Callithrix jacchus: one gene and its partners. The protein of the gene in region 2 purifies or fractionates together with the protein of the main gene of each other region. This does not show direct contact. Links are inferred from orthologs where the notes say so. Each region holds a gene or a part of one and is shown on either strand. Other genes may lie near its edges.

What was found.
Region 1: the proteins of OTUD1 (region 2) and FLNC purify together in Homo sapiens (affinity purification with mass spectrometry; 3 studies listed by BioGRID and IntAct, with this or other methods). This does not show direct contact. The link is inferred for Callithrix jacchus from reciprocal best matches to the Homo sapiens genes OTUD1 and FLNC.
Region 3: the proteins of OTUD1 (region 2) and FLNA purify together in Homo sapiens (affinity purification with mass spectrometry; 3 studies listed by BioGRID and IntAct, with this or other methods). This does not show direct contact. The link is inferred for Callithrix jacchus from reciprocal best matches to the Homo sapiens genes OTUD1 and FLNA.
Region 4: the proteins of OTUD1 (region 2) and AIFM1 purify together in Homo sapiens (affinity purification with mass spectrometry; 3 studies listed by BioGRID, with this or other methods). This does not show direct contact. The link is inferred for Callithrix jacchus from reciprocal best matches to the Homo sapiens genes OTUD1 and AIFM1.

What each region holds. Positions count from the first base shown.
Region 1 is NC_133512.1:118,333,025-118,337,365, forward strand, and holds part of FLNC (filamin-C), read right to left. Parts: intron 3,898-4,341; coding exon 3,730-3,897; intron 3,650-3,729; coding exon 3,526-3,649; intron 3,040-3,525; coding exon 2,883-3,039; intron 2,808-2,882; coding exon 2,618-2,807; intron 2,428-2,617; coding exon 2,404-2,427; intron 2,277-2,403; coding exon 2,029-2,276; intron 1,628-2,028; coding exon 1,508-1,627; intron 1,196-1,507; coding exon 1,096-1,195; intron 811-1,095; coding exon 670-810; intron 382-669; coding exon 253-381; intron 159-252; coding exon 1-158.
Region 2 is NC_133508.1:23,882,737-23,887,874, reverse strand, and holds the start of OTUD1 (OTU domain-containing protein 1), read right to left. Parts: upstream 2,976-5,138; 5' UTR 2,593-2,975; coding exon 1,150-2,592; 3' UTR 1-1,149. UniProt on the Homo sapiens protein: Deubiquitinating enzyme that specifically hydrolyzes 'Lys-63'-linked polyubiquitin to monoubiquitin.
Region 3 is NC_133524.1:150,157,036-150,161,376, reverse strand, and holds part of FLNA (filamin-A), read left to right. Parts: intron 1-113; coding exon 114-362; intron 363-465; coding exon 466-563; intron 564-651; coding exon 652-799; intron 800-1,293; coding exon 1,294-1,412; intron 1,413-1,505; coding exon 1,506-1,583; intron 1,584-1,673; coding exon 1,674-1,836; intron 1,837-1,919; coding exon 1,920-2,120; intron 2,121-2,630; coding exon 2,631-2,768; intron 2,769-2,857; coding exon 2,858-2,981; intron 2,982-3,115; coding exon 3,116-3,252; intron 3,253-3,345; coding exon 3,346-3,539; intron 3,540-3,769; coding exon 3,770-3,883; intron 3,884-3,976; coding exon 3,977-4,120; intron 4,121-4,341. UniProt on the Homo sapiens protein: Promotes orthogonal branching of actin filaments and links actin filaments to membrane glycoproteins. Anchors various transmembrane proteins to the actin cytoskeleton and serves as a scaffold for a wide range of cytoplasmic signaling proteins.
Region 4 is NC_133524.1:125,795,300-125,799,459, forward strand, and holds the end of AIFM1 (apoptosis-inducing factor 1, mitochondrial), read right to left. Parts: coding exon 4,074-4,160; intron 2,566-4,073; coding exon 2,369-2,565; intron 2,045-2,368; coding exon 1,973-2,044; 3' UTR 1,929-1,972; exon of another isoform or gene 1,794-1,928; intron 1,554-1,793; 3' UTR 1,061-1,553; downstream 1-1,060. UniProt on the Homo sapiens protein: Functions both as NADH oxidoreductase and as regulator of apoptosis.

The DNA of each region.
Region 1 (4,341 bases), on a different chromosome or scaffold from region 2:
GAAGGGGCTCCCTGGGATGTGCTTGTCATCGAAGCGCACAATGATACTGTAGTCCCCAGGTGCGGTCGGCAGGTAGGACACGGTGCAGGTGCCATCCTTGTTGTCCTTACAGGTGATCTCTGCCTTGGATGGGCCCTCCACGGCCAGCGACAGACCCCCTGTAGGTGGAGGTGGGGCCAAGATCAGAGTTCCTGCCCTTGCCCCTGCCCCTGGTGAGTCTCCACCCCAGCCCCCCACCTGTCACTCTCTCACCTTCTCCAGCATCTTTGGTGACAATGGTGAAGGTGGCTGGCTTGTTGACCATGCCATGGCTCAGGCCTGGCCCATAGGCACTGACATGGCGGCTGTTGATGGCGTCCACATAGAACTGCAAGGGGCTCCCTTGGGGGCAGAGAGAAAAAGGGGGCCAGGTCAGCATCGGAGAATGTCTGAGCCCACTTCGGCCCCAGTGCCTTCCAGCAGCCTCCCTGCCAACCCCCTCTGTCTCTGCCGTAGGGACCCACCTGGTGGAGTTTGCCTCCCACCAGGGTATGAGCCTCCCTGGGGCCTCGCATGGTGTCTGCACACAGCGGGTGCTCAATAAATATTTGTTGAAAGAAGGAAGGCAGGACTGAAGCTGCTGCCAGCTCCTCTCACCCAAGCCCCAGCCCAGCCCAGCCCCCAGCTCACCAGGGATGTGGTTGCCGTCGTACTTGATCCCCATCTGGTGCAGGCCTTTCTCGGTGGGCGCGTACCTCACCGTGATGGTGCCGTCCTTGTTGTCGGTAATGTTGGGCCGTGCTGTCTTCCCAGAGGGCATCCGCACCTCCCCTGCAGGGAGATGCAGTTACGTGGGGACCCTGGTTTCCCCCACTGCAACCTCCCTGCTGTCCCAGGCCTGCACCTGAGTGCTTCTGTTGCCACCTGGGAGGCCAGGCACCAGGAGACAGCCTGTGGCAGTTGCCTGAGCCCTGAACTGGGGGACAGATGGTTTGCACCCGAGTTCTGGCTCTGCTCAACCTGCTATGTGGCCCTGGGTAGAGCTCGCTTCCTCTCTCTGGGCCTCGGTTTTCATCTCTAAGACACAGGGCATGCCTGGGGGCCACAGGGCAGTACCTGTAAGCTCCCCTTTCTGCACCGTGAAGGGGATGACCAGGTTGAAGGGCCTCAGCATGGACTCCATTGGCTCTGCAGGCACCACTGGCTCCTCTGTGGCCTGTGGCAGGTAAGAGGGAACAGTCAGTGACTGGGGAAGGCCCGGGAGCTTGGCCTGTGCCATGACTGAAGTTGGAGAGTGAGGAAAGAACAAGGTAGTTAATGGTGAGACCAGCATGGCAAGAGAGGTGCGTCAGCTGCAAGAGAAGGAGTGCGGTGCCCAAGCGGGGCTCCATCTGCCCAGCCTGAGCCCTGCCTGTTCCCCAGGAGGCCCCCAGACCACGCTTCAGCCCTGGCTACAGAAGATTAGAGATGAGAAATGAAGGAAAGGGAGGAGGAGAAGGAGGACATTGCCCAGTGGAAGGCGCAATACCCAATGTGTGGGGCGGGCACCAGGCCTGGGAGAACCGTAGGGCTGGTGGGGAGGAGCATAGGGCTGGTGCAGCTGCGGCACTTCAGAGGGCTCCTCCTCATGCAGCAGGGGGTCACACGCCTGGGGAGGCAAGGCAAGGGGGCACAGGGTGTGGTAGGCTCACAGGCCCAGGGGCTGACTCAGAGAATGGCCCAGGAATCTGAAATGCTGGGTGATGTCTTGGGTGCTCGCCTCTTGGAGGGCTTCATCCTCCTGCAGGGCAGCCTCTGGGGAGCCGGAGCTGGGGATGGTGGAACACACAGCAGGTTCCGGCAGGGGGCAGGGCCCTGTTCTCCTCCCACTTCGGGGGACTGTGGGGAAAGCTAAGGCTCCATCCTGGAGCCCTCTGGCCCCAGGAGCCCTCAAAGTGGTATTCCTTGGGGACAGTTATCTGGGATCCCTGCTGCTGCTAAAAGGGCCAGTCCCCCCATCCCCCCATCGACCCCGGCCAGCTAGTCTTTTGTGGTGGCTTTGGAGCTTACCAGCACGTGGAAGGGGCTGTTGGGGATGTGCTCGCCCCCGAAGCGGATGGTGATGACGTACTTGCCCGGTTCGGGCGCTGTGTAGTAGATGTCAAAGGTACCATCATGGTTCTCAACCACGTCCACATCGAGCTCTGCCCCATCCGGTGTGGACACCGTGCATGTCACCTTCCCCTCGCCGGCTGCCTTGGCATCCACTGTGATCACCGTCTCCTGCCCAATCTGGATTCGGGGGCCCAGGCAGGCACCTGCCATGTGGGAGATCCTGCTCAGGAGGCTGGAGGTCTGGAGGCAGCCCTCTCTGTTCCTGGCTGCCCACCCCCCACTGCTAACCACCCTGGCCCACAGCAAGAAGAGGAGAGAAAGGGCACTCACCCAGGCCGTGGCCTCCAATGGACACTGGAAAGAGAAGAGTGTGAGGTCAGGCCGTGCTCAGTGTGGACTGGGGCATTGTGTCGGGGAGGGCAGGGCCAGGGCTGGGACGTGTGTGTCCTCTCACCAGCAGACCCCTGGGGACCAGGCCAGGGCTCTGGAGGGGATTTGAGGGGCTGGGTGGTGAGCAGGGCACAGGGAGCGGGTGTACACCTACCTGTGACGAGGCACTTGCTGGCATCCCCAGTGGGCAGAGCATGGATGCGGAAGGGCGAGTAGGGGATCTCATCGCCGCCATATTTGATGGTGATGGTGTACCGACCGCTCATGTCTGGCAGGTAGGACACGGTATATGTGCCATCCCCATTGTCCCGGATGTTGGCCTTCTTGGGCTTACCCTCGGGGTCCTGAGGGAGAAGAAGAGGTCAAGGTCCACCTGTGCCTGGAGCATGACCTGGGGGGTGGGCTGTGCAGGGACTCACCAGGATCTGGACAGTGAGCAACCCCTCGCCCGCATCCCGTGCATCGATGGTGAACTCCACCGGCAGGCTGGCAGGGATGCCAGAGGCGTTGAGGCCGGGGCCACTGGCCCGCACCTTGCTGGCATCATGAGCTGGAAGGACTTTGATCTTGAAGGGGCTTGAGGAGCAGAAGGGATAGATAGTTGACTGGGGCTATGGACAGGGTAGGGGGTGATTTCATCTTGAACCAGATTCCTACCCATAGACATGGGCAGGAAGGAGGACTGTGGACCAGGGAGGAGGGACCAGTTCCCAGAAGCTGATTACATTCTGAGTCTGGGGGCAGGGCCACTCTGGGACTCCTGTGACAGAGACAGGGCACTTCTCCATTCCCCAGGAAGGTGCTATGGGAGGGCCTGGGGGGAGGCCCTGGCCCAGGCCTCCTGCTCATTTCCTAAGGCGCTAGTTTTGCTGTAAAAGCTCCTGGGGCAAGACAGCCTCAGGGCAGAGCCCTGGGGAAGAGCTAGATAGGGCAGGGAGACTGGATGAGGCTGACAGCGGGAGGGGCTCTCCCAGGGGCCCCCAGCAGTGACCCTGCAGTGCCGCCCCAGCAGGAGCACCTCAGAGCTCAGCTGCAGCACGGGAGCCCAGCGCTGGTCCTCACCTGCGTGGCACCTCCTGGTCAGCATATTTGACGGCTACCGTGTAGGGCCCATCTGTGGCTGGGGTGTAGTGGACAGTGTGGGTGCCATCTCCATTGTCCCGCACCTCCACAGGCTCGGCCACACCTGGACAAGGGCGCAGGGTCAGCAGAGCCTCCGGACAGCCCCCCCCAACTTCCCTCCTCCCTGCCCCGGCCATTCTATACCTGTGGGACCCAGCACAGCCACCTGCAGAGGTGCCCGGCCAGCCTGACTGCAGTCCACGGTGAACGTCTGGGGGACCCGGGCCCTGACACCGGCCCCCAGCCCTGGGCCTGAGCATTTCACTTTCCCGGGGTCCACCACATCCTTCACCGGCACCCGGAATGGGCTCCCTGTGAAGAGAAGGACATCAGCTCCTGCCCACCACCTGGGAGGGTCCCCCTGATGCTGAAGAGTCACGGAGGAGGAGACCTTCCTGCCTTTGAAATGCCCACAGGGAGGTCACACCAACATGGGAACAGGCCTAGGAACTTGCTAAGAAAGCACACACAAGAATAAACGAACTTGACTGCAGACTGAGGCCGGGCAAACCTCACTCATGTGGGTCCCAGGCCTGAAAGATAAGGCCTTCCTAAAAATGTGGAAATAATTTTTTTTTTTTCTGAGACGGAGTTTTGCTCTTGTTGCCCAGGCTGGAGTGCCATGGCGAGATCTCAGCTCACCACAACTTCCGCCACCGGGTTCAAGCAATTCCCTTGCCTCACCTCACCAGTAACTGGGATTACAGGTGCCCGCCACCACATCCAGCTAATTTTGTATTTTTAGTAAAGACGGGG
Region 2 (5,138 bases):
CAAAAAAATCACAAAATGTTACAAAATAAAAAAGTACAAACTGCATTACTTAATAAATATGACTAAAAGTAGTTAAAGTGGCAATGAGATAGATTTTAAGTGGGAAACATTGTTTGACCCAGCAAACCACACAAGCTCTGTTTACAGACATTTCTAAGTTAATACAGGGCAATCCTTTTTTGCCTTTTGAAAGAATGTAAAAGAAATACTAAGACAGTGTTCTCCTGCTATAACTGCCAAGGTTGGCTCCAGACATTTATGACATTAGTTTATAAATCTCTTAGCTGGATCCAAGAAGTTATATAAAGCAGGAGGCTTATCTTGTCACAAAATTTTATACCAAGTTAGATTCTCTTATAACAAAGTGACAAATGTAAATAAAACTGAGAGCACCAGACAATTTACACATTAACCAGGGTACAGAATAATCACTCTGTCATCGGCAAATATCAGACTTTCATTCAAGTAAGACCTGGTACTATCCCTTAAAAGAAGAAAAAAAACCTTCCCACAACCTTCTGTTAAGTATTTCTCTTTAAAAGATTCACCATTTCTAGAAAAATAATTATTTCCAACAGAACAGATTTGTTTCATCAAAATGGAATGGGCCAAACACTTGGTAACAAGAATACATCAATATCCATCTGAAATAATTATCTAAGAATTGTGAAAATCAAATTTCAACAACGTAAGAACTACCAAATCACAAACTCTGTTCAAAATAATACATTTCATATAAAGCACTTCTCTGGATTTATGCTTGAAAGCTGTCAAAATGGGACACGTCATAGATGAAGGTACACCAGTTTTTAAAAATGTTGTGCAAAAATACATTTTTATAGAAAATAGACTACCAGGAATGAACAAATTTACACTGTGAGAAAACAGCTTGCAAATTAAGTAGTGCTCACTTTATACAGCAAATTATAAATAGCAGTAAAATCACCCTAAGCTATCATGAAACATCATTTGGGTGCCCAGCAACCTTCAGCTCTGAGAAAACATTCAAAAAGATGATTAAGGCATTACACCTACAGTAAAATCTACTAGGAAGTTTGAAAGTGCTATTACCCTGATTAGAGTTCACGTGATTCTCCAAACACAAGTTATGTATGCAATTTTCCCAGGGTGTTAAGGTTTTGAGACACTTCAAGAGCATGCGTTTTGTTCAATATACATTTTAGACAGGGATATGGCCATAGATTTGGCAAGTTCTTCATCGCGTTTCCTCTGCACTTGAGTTTGTTTGCACCAGTTGTCGTACTCTGGGTTAGGATAGGAGTGATCAAATACAGCATCATAGTGTCCGTTACTGAGCCAACTGAGCCAAATACTGGGCCTCAGGGAATCCTCTGGGCCCAAATAATGAATCATGGTAGACACCGTGGGGCTCTCCAGCCTCCCTCCAGTAGTTAAGTGGATATTCACATTCAGCATCTGCCCCATGGCCAGCAACTCGGGGTACCCAGCCCATGCCCCGTCTTGGGCAGCAGCGATGAGAAACTCCCCTACGTCGCCCTCAATCAGGGGGTTGAAGTGGTCGAGATGGTCGGCGATGTAGTGCACGGTCTGCTCCCTCAGCTCTCGGTGCAGGCTCTGGTCGCCGTACACAGTCTTGCTGACAGCTCGGTACAGGCAGTTGCCGTCGGGAATGATGTGGAATCGATACTTATTTCTCTGCCGCAGGTATTTATCCTGCTTCTCCACCTCGGCCAGGTACAGGGCCAGCTTCTCGTCTCTGGGATCCGACCTGGGGACAACCACCGGCTCCACCGCGCTGCTCGGGGCAGCCTCGCTGCTCCGGCCGGGAGACACCTCGGCCTCCGGGTCGGGCCTCCGAGCCGCGTTCCCGCCAGGCGCGTCGCAGCGGTCGCCGCCCCTCTCCCAGGCCCGGGGGCCCCTCTCCGCCAGGTGCTCCTCGCCCCACGGACCGGGGCCGGCGTCGGGACTCCCCGGGGTGGGCGCGAGGCCTCGATGCTTGGCAGCGGCCAGGGCCTGGCAGTGCTCGCTCAGTCGGAAGTTCCGATCGGGCCCCTCCCGGGCCGCCTCCAAGCCCGTCTCGGGGCAGTCGGGCCGCAGCAGCTCCTCCAGGAGCCAGGCGGAAGAGCCCCGTCGCGGCGGGATGGGGGCTGCGGGCGCCGGGGCCAGCAGGAGGCAGCGGCCGCGCGGGGCGGCCGCAGAGCCCGCGGCGCCGGGAGCGGGCTCGGGCCCGTGCAGCAGGAGCCTGTCGGCGCCCAGGGCCCGCACGGTGATCTGCGCGGTGGAAGTGTAGTGCGGCGGCAGTGGCGGCTTGCAGGACGCGCTGGGCGGGCCGGCGGCTGCGGATCCGGGCGCGGTGGCCCCGGACACCACTTCGAAGCAAGAGGAGAAGGCAGGCATCTTGGCGGCGGGGACAGCGGCGGCTTCCCGGGGCTCTGTGGCCGCGGCGGGCTGGCACTCACCGGTCTCGGGCTCGGCGCCGGCGGTTCCCGGGGGCTGCAGCGAGACCTTGAAGGGGGCGGCGGCGGTGGCTGCAGGCGGCGCGGGGGCTGCGGCCGTGGGACCCGGGGCCCCGGCGGGGTAGTGGGTGCAGACGCTGCTGTAGAGCTGCATGTCCCTGCCCGCCGCTCGGCCCCTTATAGGCGCGGCGAGCCCCCGAGCGGGGGACACACCCTCCGGGCCCGGGGGAGGGGGCCGGCGGAGCGCGGTGACCAAACGGCCCCAGAATAGAGATGAGCGCCCGGTCGCCGGCCGCCGCGCGTCAGCAGCCGCGAATAGCTCCCGGGTCCCGGCCAAATTCCTGCTGCGCCACAGCGTGGGGGGAGGGCGGGGACGGGACGCGCGCTCGACCCCTGCCGGTGCGCTCGGCCTGCAGACCCTGGGCGCCTTGCCCGCTGCAGTTGCTGCGGCGGCCGCAGGGGACTCTCGGAAGAAGCTACCCACCCCGCTAGAGCGCGTCTCGCCGACAAGGAGGAGCGCGGGGCGCGCGGAGGCCCGGGAGGCGGGGCCGCGGTTGTTTACCTCAGGCCTCGCGGCCGCGTCACATGACCCCGCTGGAATGCGCGACTCGTCCGGGCGCCCGATTCAGCAGCACCGACTCGCCCCACCCACTCCGGCCCGCGCCCCGCCTCCTGTCCCGCTCCGCTGTGCCCCGCCGACGTCACGGGCGTAGTCCCCCGCGCGCGCGCGCGCACTCGCGCGCGGGCGGGGCGGAGCCGGGGGCGCTGAGGCTCAGGGGCCTGCGCAGTCTTGAGATTTCTGGCTGGGCCTCCCGCCCACGTGACTCCCGCGGACCGTTTTCCCCACCTGGGGACGGGTTTCTAAGCTGCGCCGCTCTCTGCGGTGGCTGCAGTGGATGCTGCGGGATGGGCGCTGCTTGGGGCGAGCTAGCATGCTTGGAAAGCTTGTGTGGCAGGAAAGCTTCCGGGCTGGGTGTGGAGGACGGAATGCTGCCTTAAAGCCTGTTTGGCCTCCCCATGGTATTGGGCTACCATACCTGCTTGCGTTCACCACTGCTTCTTTTCTTTTTTTCTTTATTTTTTTTAGAGATGAGGGTCCCTTCTGTCGCCCAGGCTGTAGTGCAGTGGCTCAGTCAGAGCCCACTGCACCCTTGACCTCCCGTGGCTCAAGCGATCTTCCAGCCTCAGCCTCCAGAGTAGCTGGAAACCACAGGCGTGCACCACCTCACCCAGCTAATTTTTTTTTTAAGGCGAGGGCCTCACTTCAGTTGCCCAGTCTGGTATGGAACTCCTGGCCTTAAGCTGTTTCCCGCCTCAACCTCCCAAAGTGTTAGGATTGATTACAGGCCCAAGCCACCACGCCTGGCACTACCACATCTTTTACCTTTTTTTTTCTTTTTGAGGCAAGGTCTTGCTTAGCCATCTAGGCTGAATGCAGTGACGCCATCATGCCTCGACCTCCAGGGTCCAAGCGATCCCCCTTCCTCAGCCTTGCCTTGGGTAGGGATTACAGGTGCCCAGCTAGTTTCACCACTGCGTCTTTTGTAGGCGCTTCCTTGGACTCACCTGTTAAGAGTGAGTCCTCTAGTGGATCCTCCTGCCCTGCTAAGACAAAACAAACTTTTCTGCACCTCTGACCTATGCCACCTGGTAAATATCTGACTTAGGCGAAAGCAAGGAAGCCTTTCATAAACAGCCGTTCTCAGAATACCAAAAGCATTATCACTTAGGGCCTTTTGAAAATAGGTACAATTGCTAGCCAGAGGTCAAAAGCAGTGGAGAAAGTCGTGACCTGCATTCTAGGGCAAGACAAACTAAAGAAAATGCTTCTACCGAGTCTTTTTGTAATGCCTGCCTTTGTAAGGGAGAGCCAGAGGTGGTGGGAGACTTTTGCTCTGTTCTGAGCTTTGATCAAATGCTAAATTTAACAGACCCAACACATTAAAATTGAACCTAGAGGTTGTCCTAAGATTTTAGAGATAGGGAACCTGGACCTGTAGGTGATGTAAGCTGTACTCCTGCCCCCACCTTTCCAGTGGAATGTGAATTCCTTGAATTGAGAGACTTGGTCTTGCTCTTTGTATTTCCATCCTCTAACACAGTGCCTGGCACATAATTAGACTTAATTCATATCTACTAAGTGAATGAGTAGATGGAAAGCCAGTTCTAAAGATGTCTCAGACAGTGGCAAAGCCAAGATTTCTATCCAGGTCCCTTGACGCTAGCCAGGCCTTTTACTTATCTTTGGGCAGTATGACTGGCAGGATCCCGGCTCAGGTCACTTCAGCTGTTTAGGTAAATTAACTCAGAAGAAGGTAAATGACTGTCTTAACTTCTGAAATTCTGGTAACTACCCCATTGGGAGCTTGAAGCTCTCGTGGCTAATTAGAAAAAGGAAATTACTATACTTGGATTTCATCACTGATTTGCTGGGCATCTATTGCTCTGCGCATGAAGCACTTCACACTGAACTCTTTCAGTAGCTGGTGTTCTGAAACAGAAGACGAGACTGTTAACAAGGCCATCCTCAAATAGTATTTACCATACCCACTGTGCGCCTAGCAGGGCTAGCATAACTGGAGCCTGAAGGGAGATAGGAAAATATTAGAATTTAAATCCTAAAGCAAGAACAGGTTTCAACAGGTTGGGGTAAATGCAGGAAAAAAACAAAAACAACAAACACAAGGTCAACGAAAGACA
Region 3 (4,341 bases), on a different chromosome or scaffold from region 2:
CCCTCCTCCTTGCTCCCCACCCCACCCCGAGCTGCCAGACCGTGACCCTGCAGCCTGTGAGCGGCCCTTCCCGCACAGCTGGGTTCCTGGCACTGCCACTCTTCTACTCACAGACAGCAAGGCCATCGTGGACGGGAACCTGAAGCTGATCCTGGGCCTCATCTGGACTCTGATCCTGCACTATTCCATCTCCATGCCCATGTGGGATGAGGAGGAGGATGAGGAGGCCAAGAAGCAGACCCCCAAGCAGAGACTCCTGGGCTGGATCCAGAACAAGCTGCCACAGCTGCCCATCACCAACTTCAGCCGCGACTGGCAGAGTGGCCGGGCCCTGGGTGCCCTGGTCGACAGCTGTGCACCAGGTAAGGGGGCGCAGAGGCAGGGGAGACTGGGCTGGGGTTGCCCATGGATGGCCCTTGAGGGGTTTCTGTGGACCCCAGACTCACAGCCTTCCTTGTGCTGCAGGCCTGTGTCCTGACTGGGACTCCTGGGATGCCAGCAAGCCTGTGAACAATGCGCGGGAGGCTATGCAGCAGGCTGACGACTGGCTGGGCATCCCTCAGGTATACCCGCTGGGCCCTGCCTGCGGCTGTAGGGGACCAATCGGTAGCGGGGAGAGATTCGAAGGATGCTGTTTTCTGCCCCTGACAGGTGATCACCCCCGAGGAGATTGTGGACCCCAATGTGGACGAACACTCTGTCATGACCTACCTGTCCCAGTTCCCCAAGGCCAAGCTGAAGCCAGGGGCTCCCTTGCGGCCCAAGCTGAACCCGAAGAAAGCCCGTGCCTATGGGCCAGGTGAGTGAGGTCCCGAGAAGTCTTGGGTTACATGGCAGCTAGGTGATCAAGCCACCCGAGAGTCAGACAAGAGGAGGTTGGGACTAAAAACACTCCACTGAGTAGACACGAGAATACCAGAGGTTCCTTCAGTCATAGAAGCCTGCTGCATGGGGTCCAGTGGGCTTTATTATAAATGGAGCTGAAGCAGGTCTCGGTAACAGGGCCCAGTGCGGTGAGAATCAGTGTTCCAGAAAACAGGCACGGGCCTGTCCCAGCAGCAAGAGCACAGCTGGGTCCCGAGGCCAGGCTCTGTGCCACGGCTTACACTGAATGAACTTGCCCAGTTTGGAATGTGCCCGACTTGGGGGCCAGCAGGGAGGGGCATTGAGCCTGCAGAGGCCTGGGGGCTGGTACAGCACTGGTCCTCTACCCGTCTGCCTTCACGTTTGGGTGGAGGGGTGAGGCTGTGACCCTAACAGCTGGCCCGTGGCTGGCTCACACTCTCCTGCCAGGCATTGAGCCCACAGGCATCATGGTGAAGAAGCGGGCTGAGTTCACTGTGGAGACCAGAAGTGCCGGCCAGGGAGAGGTGCTGGTGTATGTGGAGGACCCGGCAGGACACCAGGAGGAGGTAGGGCCCCCTGCTGGCAGCTGAGGGCCCAGCAGTGCTCCCTTTCGGTGGGACTGCTCTTAGCAAAGGCTCATGGGCTCCTTCCTACCGCAGGCCAAAGTGACTGCCAATAACGACAAAAACCGCACCTTCTCCGTCTGGTATGTCCCCGAGGTGACGGGGACTCATAAGGTGAGCCCTTGGATAGTGGGGAGGCTTGTGACCTCAGGCGGTGGCTCGAGGCCCCAGCCCCACGCTCACGGCCCACCCTTCTGGGGATAGGTCACTGTGCTCTTTGCTGGCCAGCACATTGCCAAGAGCCCCTTTGAGGTGTCCGTGGATAAGTCACAGGGTGACGCCAGCAAAGTGACTGCACAAGGCCCTGGCCTGGAACCCAGTGGCAACATTGCCAACAAGACCACCTACTTCGAGATCTTCACAGCAGGTGAGGGGAGGCTGCCAAGGCCTGGCTGGTCTTTGGGGAGAGCTGCACTGGGGCCTGGGAGCTGAGTGGGTGCCTCATGGCAGGCGCTGGCACGGGCGAGGTCGAGGTTGTAATCCAGGACCCCATGGGACAGAAGAGCACCGTGGAGCCTCAGCTGGAGGCCCGGGGTGACAGCACCTACCGCTGCAGCTACCAGCCCACCATGGAGGGCGTCCACACGGTGCACGTCACATTCGCCGGTGTGCCCATCCCTCGCAGCCCCTACACTGTCACTGTTGGCCAAGGTAGGCCTGGCCCTGGACAACCTCTGCTGTGGCACTGCAGCCTGGGCCTCCCACATGAGGGGGAGCCCCCTGGGCCAGTCTTGCTGCAGCCCACCCCGGGACCCCATCTTTGAGCTTCACTATCTGGGCACCTGCTGTCTTTCCTCCCCTGCTGGGGCCCTTCCTCCTCTCCTCTCGGCTCCTCGCCCCTCCATCTCTCTCCTCTCCATGCTTTCACCTTCGGAAGAGCTCGCTCCAGCTGTCTAGAAACCTACCTGCTGCCCTCTGCTCTGCCCACAGGGTCAACGGTACTTGGATCTGTCTTCTTCTTGGAGGGGAGGGCTGGGGCCTCTGGGCTGGCATGGGGCAGGTGGGAGGAGGCCTGGCCCAAGCCACAGTTCCTGGGGTCACAGTCCCTTCCAGTTCTTTCTTGCATGTCCCTCTCCAATCCTGACAGCCTGGCCCTGTGGGAGGCCGGGGAAGGGGTGCCCAGCCCAGCTGCCAGCGCTCAGCTGGCCCCTCTGCCTACAGCCTGTAACCCGAGTGCCTGCCGGGCTGTTGGCCGGGGCCTTCAGCCCAAGGGTGTTCGAGTGAAGGAGACAGCTGACTTCAAGGTGTACACAAAGGGTGCTGGCAGTGGGGAGCTGAAGGTCACTGTGAAGGGCCCCAGTAAGTTGGCCTGGAGCTAGGCCAGGGTGGGTGGCGGCAGCCCCCAGGGTCACTGCTGTGCAGGCCTGAGGTCCTCCTTGTCTTGGCAGAGGGAGAGGAGCGTGTGAAGCAGAAGGACCTGGGGGATGGTGTGTATGGCTTCGAGTATTACCCCATGGTCCCTGGGACCTACATCGTCACCATCACGTGGGGCGGTCAGAACATCGGGCGCAGGTGAGAACCCCAAGCGTCCCTCTCACAGCTCTGTGCACTGTCTCTTCCTCTGCCTCCCCACCTGATGAGCCCAGGTGGGCTGTCCAGCAGCGTGGTGATCCTCGGTGTTCCCTGTGTGGCTCTCCCATTCGCAGTCCCTGTGAGGTGAAGGTGGGCACGGAGTGTGGCAATCAGAAGGTGCGGGCCTGGGGCCCTGGGCTGGAGGGCGGCGTTGCTGGCAAGTCAGCAGACTTTGTGGTGGAGGCTATTGGGGACGACGTGGGCACCCTGGGTAAGTTGGAGACTGCAGCATGGGCACAGACGGTGGCGAGGACAGCCCACCCTGAGGCTCCAGGGCACTGAGGGGACTGGTGGCTGTTGTCAGGGTTCTCGGTGGAAGGTCCATCTCAGGCCAAGATCGAATGTGATGACAAGGGTGACGGCTCCTGTGACGTGCGCTACTGGCCGCAGGAGGCTGGCGAGTATGCTGTTCACGTGCTGTGCAACAGTGAGGACATCCGCCTCAGCCCCTTCATGGCTGACATCCGCGACGCACCCCAGGACTTCCACCCAGACAGGGTAAAGGGCAGCCAGTGATGGCCTCAGTCTCAGCCTGCTGCTTCTGCTTGGGGGGCCCAGTGAGGGTGGCACAAGCCCCTTCCAATCAGCCAGGCGGGGGGTCCTGGGTACAGGCCCTGGGCTGGTATTCCCAGCAGTGTTCCTGGCACTGTGTCTCTGGCCACCCTGCCTGGGTTGTAGCTCTGGTGGCCTAGATCTGTTCCCCTAAGATCTGGCTGGTCTCCCACTAGGTGAAGGCACGTGGGCCAGGATTGGAGAAGACAGGTGTGGCCGTCAACAAGCCGGCAGAGTTCACAGTGGATGCCAAGCACGGTGGCAAGGCCCCGCTCCGGGTCCAAGTCCAGGTACAGCGCCCGTGGGTGTTGGGGGCAGGGCAGGCATGGGTACCCAGGCCTGGGCACTGAGCAGCAGGCCGCCTGCTCCTACCCACCTGGCAGGACAATGAAGGCTGCCCTGTGGAGGCGTTGGTCAAGGACAACGGCAACGGCACTTACAGCTGCTCCTACGTGCCCAGGAAGCCGGTGAAGCACACAGCCATGGTGTCCTGGGGTGGCGTCAGTATCCCCAACAGCCCCTTCAGGGTGAGCCAACCTCCACGGGCACATGATTCATCCATTTCAAGTGGACAAGTCAGTGATTGTAGCGCTTTCACAGAGTTGTGTGACCATAACCACCTAAGTTTAGGACATTTACATCATCCCACAGCCCCTGGTGAACACTACCCGGCTTTCCACTGTGGCTTTGCCTCTGTTACACACATTCTGGAGACAGACTCACGTGCCATGTGACCTTTTGTGTCTGG
Region 4 (4,160 bases), on a different chromosome or scaffold from region 2:
TTGGTCAGGCTGGTCTCGAACTCCTGACCTTGTGATCTGCCTCGGCCTCCCAAAGTGCTGAGATTACAGGCATGAGCCACCACGCCTGGCCTGAGTTTTCTCTTTTTTTCTTTCTTTCTCTCTTTTTGAGATGGAGTTTCACTGTGTCACCCAGGTTGGAGTGCAATGGTGCGACCTCAGCTCACCACAACCTCCACCTCCCAGGTTCAGGCAATTCTCCTGTCTCCGCCTCCTGAGTAGCTGCGACTACAGGCACATGCCACTACACCTGGCTAATTTTTGTATTTTTAGTAGAGAGGACAGGGTTTCACCACGTTGGCCAGGCTAGTCTCGAACTCCTGACCTCAGGTGATCCACCCACTTTGGCCTCCCAAAGTGCTGGGATTATAGGCATGAGCCACCATCCTCAGCCTTCGATGAGTTTTCTACATAGGGATTTGGATATGTCATTTGGACATGATCATATCTGACTAAATCTGTATCCATATATTACTGTTTGGTATACCTGAACTGCTAATTTTTACAGTGGAGATTTGGCCTGTTCTCCCAGTATTCAGAAAGGATTTGGTTGAAGCTGAAACTGCCCTTGATCAAACCCAATATTAAAAAAAATCCAGACTGGTAATAATTTTCTCTTTACATACACGGAGTTTCACAACAGGACTCTTGAAAGTAGTAACAAATTCCTATTAAATAAGATTTGATTTTTTTAGGCCAGGCACAGTGGCTCATGCCTATAATCCCAGCACTTTGGGAGGCCAAGGTGGGCAGATCACCTGAGGTCAGGAGTTTGAGATCAGCCTGACCAACGTGGAGAAACCCTGTCTCTACTAAAAATACAAAATTTACCAGGCGTGGTGATGTATGCCTGTAATCCCAGCTACTCAGGAGGCTGAGGCAGGAGAATTGCTTGAACCTGGGAGGCGGAGGTTGTGGTGAGCTGAGATCGCACCCCTGCACTCCAGCCTGGGCAACAAGAGCGAGACTCCATCTCAATAAAATAAAATAAAGTAAAATTTGATTTTTAAAAGTTAAGCAATCTAAAATGCCAAACAACAAGTTGACTTGTGAAACTCTGAATTGTATTCCCAGGAAAATAATCTAAAGTGAGGTATGCCCACAAGTGTATTTTAGAGAAAAGGTGCGTTAGAGAGGGCAGATGTCTAGTATGAAGACAACAGGCAGAAGAGTCAAGAAATGATGGTCCTTCCAGGAGTCCATCTCCAGGTTTCACTGTGAAGAACCAGGTCTCTGGACTCAGATTTGCAGTCAGTGTCCTTCCTGTCCCCTGCAGGATCCAATGCAGTTCTGGGACAGGAGTTGTTCCAGGTAAAACTGAGTCTCTTCCATACATTTATTTGCTTACTCATTCGACAATGATTTATGAAGCACTTACTATGAGCCAGAGCCTGTGCTAAGCTCTGGAGATAAAACCATGAGCAAGACCTCAATGTCAGGGCTTCTGCTTCCAGGAAGTCATGGGCGAGCAGGGAGACACATATACAAGGATGAGGCCTGGAGGGCTGCGAACATCTTCAGAGATAGTGAACCTCCTGAGAAGAGAGGAGGGGAGTCAAGTGTTGTGGGCCGAGGCCACAGTAGGTGCGTGCAAAGAGGTCTGGAGGGGTGAGGGAAGTTCAGGAAAGGAAAGGAGTTTCACCTGTGGAACAGGGAATGAATACACGGCTGAGAAAAACCCTGTGCTTGGTCAGTGCTGCGATTTGCTTGCTTTCTAATATGCATGGTTTTCCTCTTTTACCCACCTGCCTCCTTGACCACAGAACAGAAATTAATTTAGAAGAATCAGAATTTATTTCACTATGTGAACATTAAGAATTTGCCTACATAGTTGAAAATATTCACAAAGGACTTGAACATTCACACTCATATACAGAGAAAGTCTGCTGAATTAAAAAATGCTCCTTTACCCATCCGACCTCAGCAGCGGGTTTGCCAATTCCACTGTGGCACTTCAGTCTTCATGAATGTTGAATAGTTTGGCGACTTCATTGAGATCTTCATGCTGCTCACCATCCTTAATTATCTGAGGGAGAGAGTAACAATAGGTCCCTAACTCATTCCATGTGTGTTCAGGCCATGCCCACACAATGGGGCCACCATATCACACTGGGAGGGAGTTGTGGGAACACCTTTCTACTAACCCAAAACAAGCAGCCTGACAACTCCCAGATCACCCAGCCAAGTCCCAGGTGAAAAAGAATGTTCCTGAGCCAAGGCTATACCTTTGTTCTGCTTAGGCACAATTTGACCTGGGGGTACAATGTATCTCAGGGCACCTGATGAAGTTACAGGAGTCTTTCTGACCTGCACTTCCCACCTTCCTCTAAGAGCTATGACGGGCACCTACCTTCCTTGCTATTGGCATTCGGTTAAAGATGTTCCATAGCACAATCCCCACGACCACTTTGTCCCTGAGGTAAAAGACGACACCTTTGCCGTAGTCCTCCCCCTGGACGGGGGCCTGTGGAACTCCCGGAGTGCTGGGAGGAATAGTAATTTCTGAGGCCTCGGACTCTGTCTCACTCTCTGATCGGATACCAGTTCCTGTGGCCAGCCCCCAAAACAAACAAACACAGAAGCACAATCAAAACTTTAGTTATTACAAGCTTGGGAAATTCGAAAAGACAACAGTCTTTTGAGGCCTGCTTCAAGCTACTTCTAGAGGATTTATTTCTCTATGCCCCTCAGTAAACTCTGGCCTTCTCCAGCCCCTCTCCACTGACAAAGCCAAGGAATAAAGTCTTCCTTGCCAGCTTCTGGGCACTGGGTCAGTCTGACCCAAAACTTCCTTCCCTTATTACCTCCTTTTAAATTTATGCTATGGATATTTCCTGGTATCTGGATTTCTTCAAACTGCAAAAGGCTGGTTCTTGTCCTCTGAGGAACATTCTAGAACTGCATGGTCCAAATACAGTAGCCACTAGCCACAGATAGCCATGTAAATGAACATCATTTCAAACTGAGTAAGATATAAAATTCAGTTCTTCATCGGTACTCACCATGTTTCATGGGTTCAAAAGCGACATGTGGCTAGTGGCTAATGTACTGGACAGAGCAGAGATGAAACATTTCCATCGCAGCAGAAAGTTCTATTGAACAGTGTTATTAGACACTTTAGCCAAAGCAGAAGGCACTTCCATATGGAAAAACCATAGTGGAGGCATTTCTTCCTAGAGAAAGATAAGAGGGGAAGGAAAGGGTGGCAAGGGAGGGGGGAACCTCGTCTTCTGAGAACCACCAGGCTCCAAATAATACTGTCCAGTGGACAGACTGGTGACCTGAATCCACTTACTAGGTTACTAGGAGAGATCAGAATTAAGGAGTATGCAATACATAAGAATTACACAGGAAAAGGACCTACATATCCATAATATGTCTTGCTTCCTCCTTCTTAAAGAGCACCTTGCCCTTGAAATACCTCTGGCAAAAGGACACAGAGGTTAAATAACTTGAGCTAAGGTCAAGGAATAAGGTCTTGGAGTTAATGAAAGAGACATGTGTGGGAGAGAAGTCCATTCCAAGAGCGGTGCCTCCCATCTAAAGAAAACCTGGCACTATGATCTGCCGAATGGAATGAAAGGCAGCTGAAGAACTACTCAGCCCAGTTCCTCCCTGCCTGGGACCCATGGAGGATAGCCAGTCTGAAGCTAAGGCTCTCAGGCTGCGTTCTTGAGATTTACCTGAAGCAAAATAATAAAAATGACAACTGAAAGAAAGAAAAGTAAAAACACAACCTAAAAAGTTCAGGTTTTCTTGTTTTCTTCCTTAAGATAGGTCTTCCCAGAGACAAAACAACAGCGTCGTTGAGCTAGCCACTGTCCACTGTCTAGGGCGGATACCCACAGTATTTGAATCTATGCTTTGACCAGGACACCTGATTGTGCCAAATCTCATACCACTAAAGAGTGAGGACTTGGGGTTTGGTTTCTTTTAAAGCACAACATGAAGAGAGGCTTTCACTGACAAGCCCCTCCGGCCAATACAGAAGCTCCTTGTTCAGGAGAGTCTGGATCACTGCTTCTCAATTCTCTCCAAGAGGAGTGCTTCCTTACCTGACTGCTCTGTGGCAGATTTGGGGTTGTCCTGTGCAGTTGCTTTTGCAAAAACACCAACTGTGGGCAAACTACTGTCCACAAGAC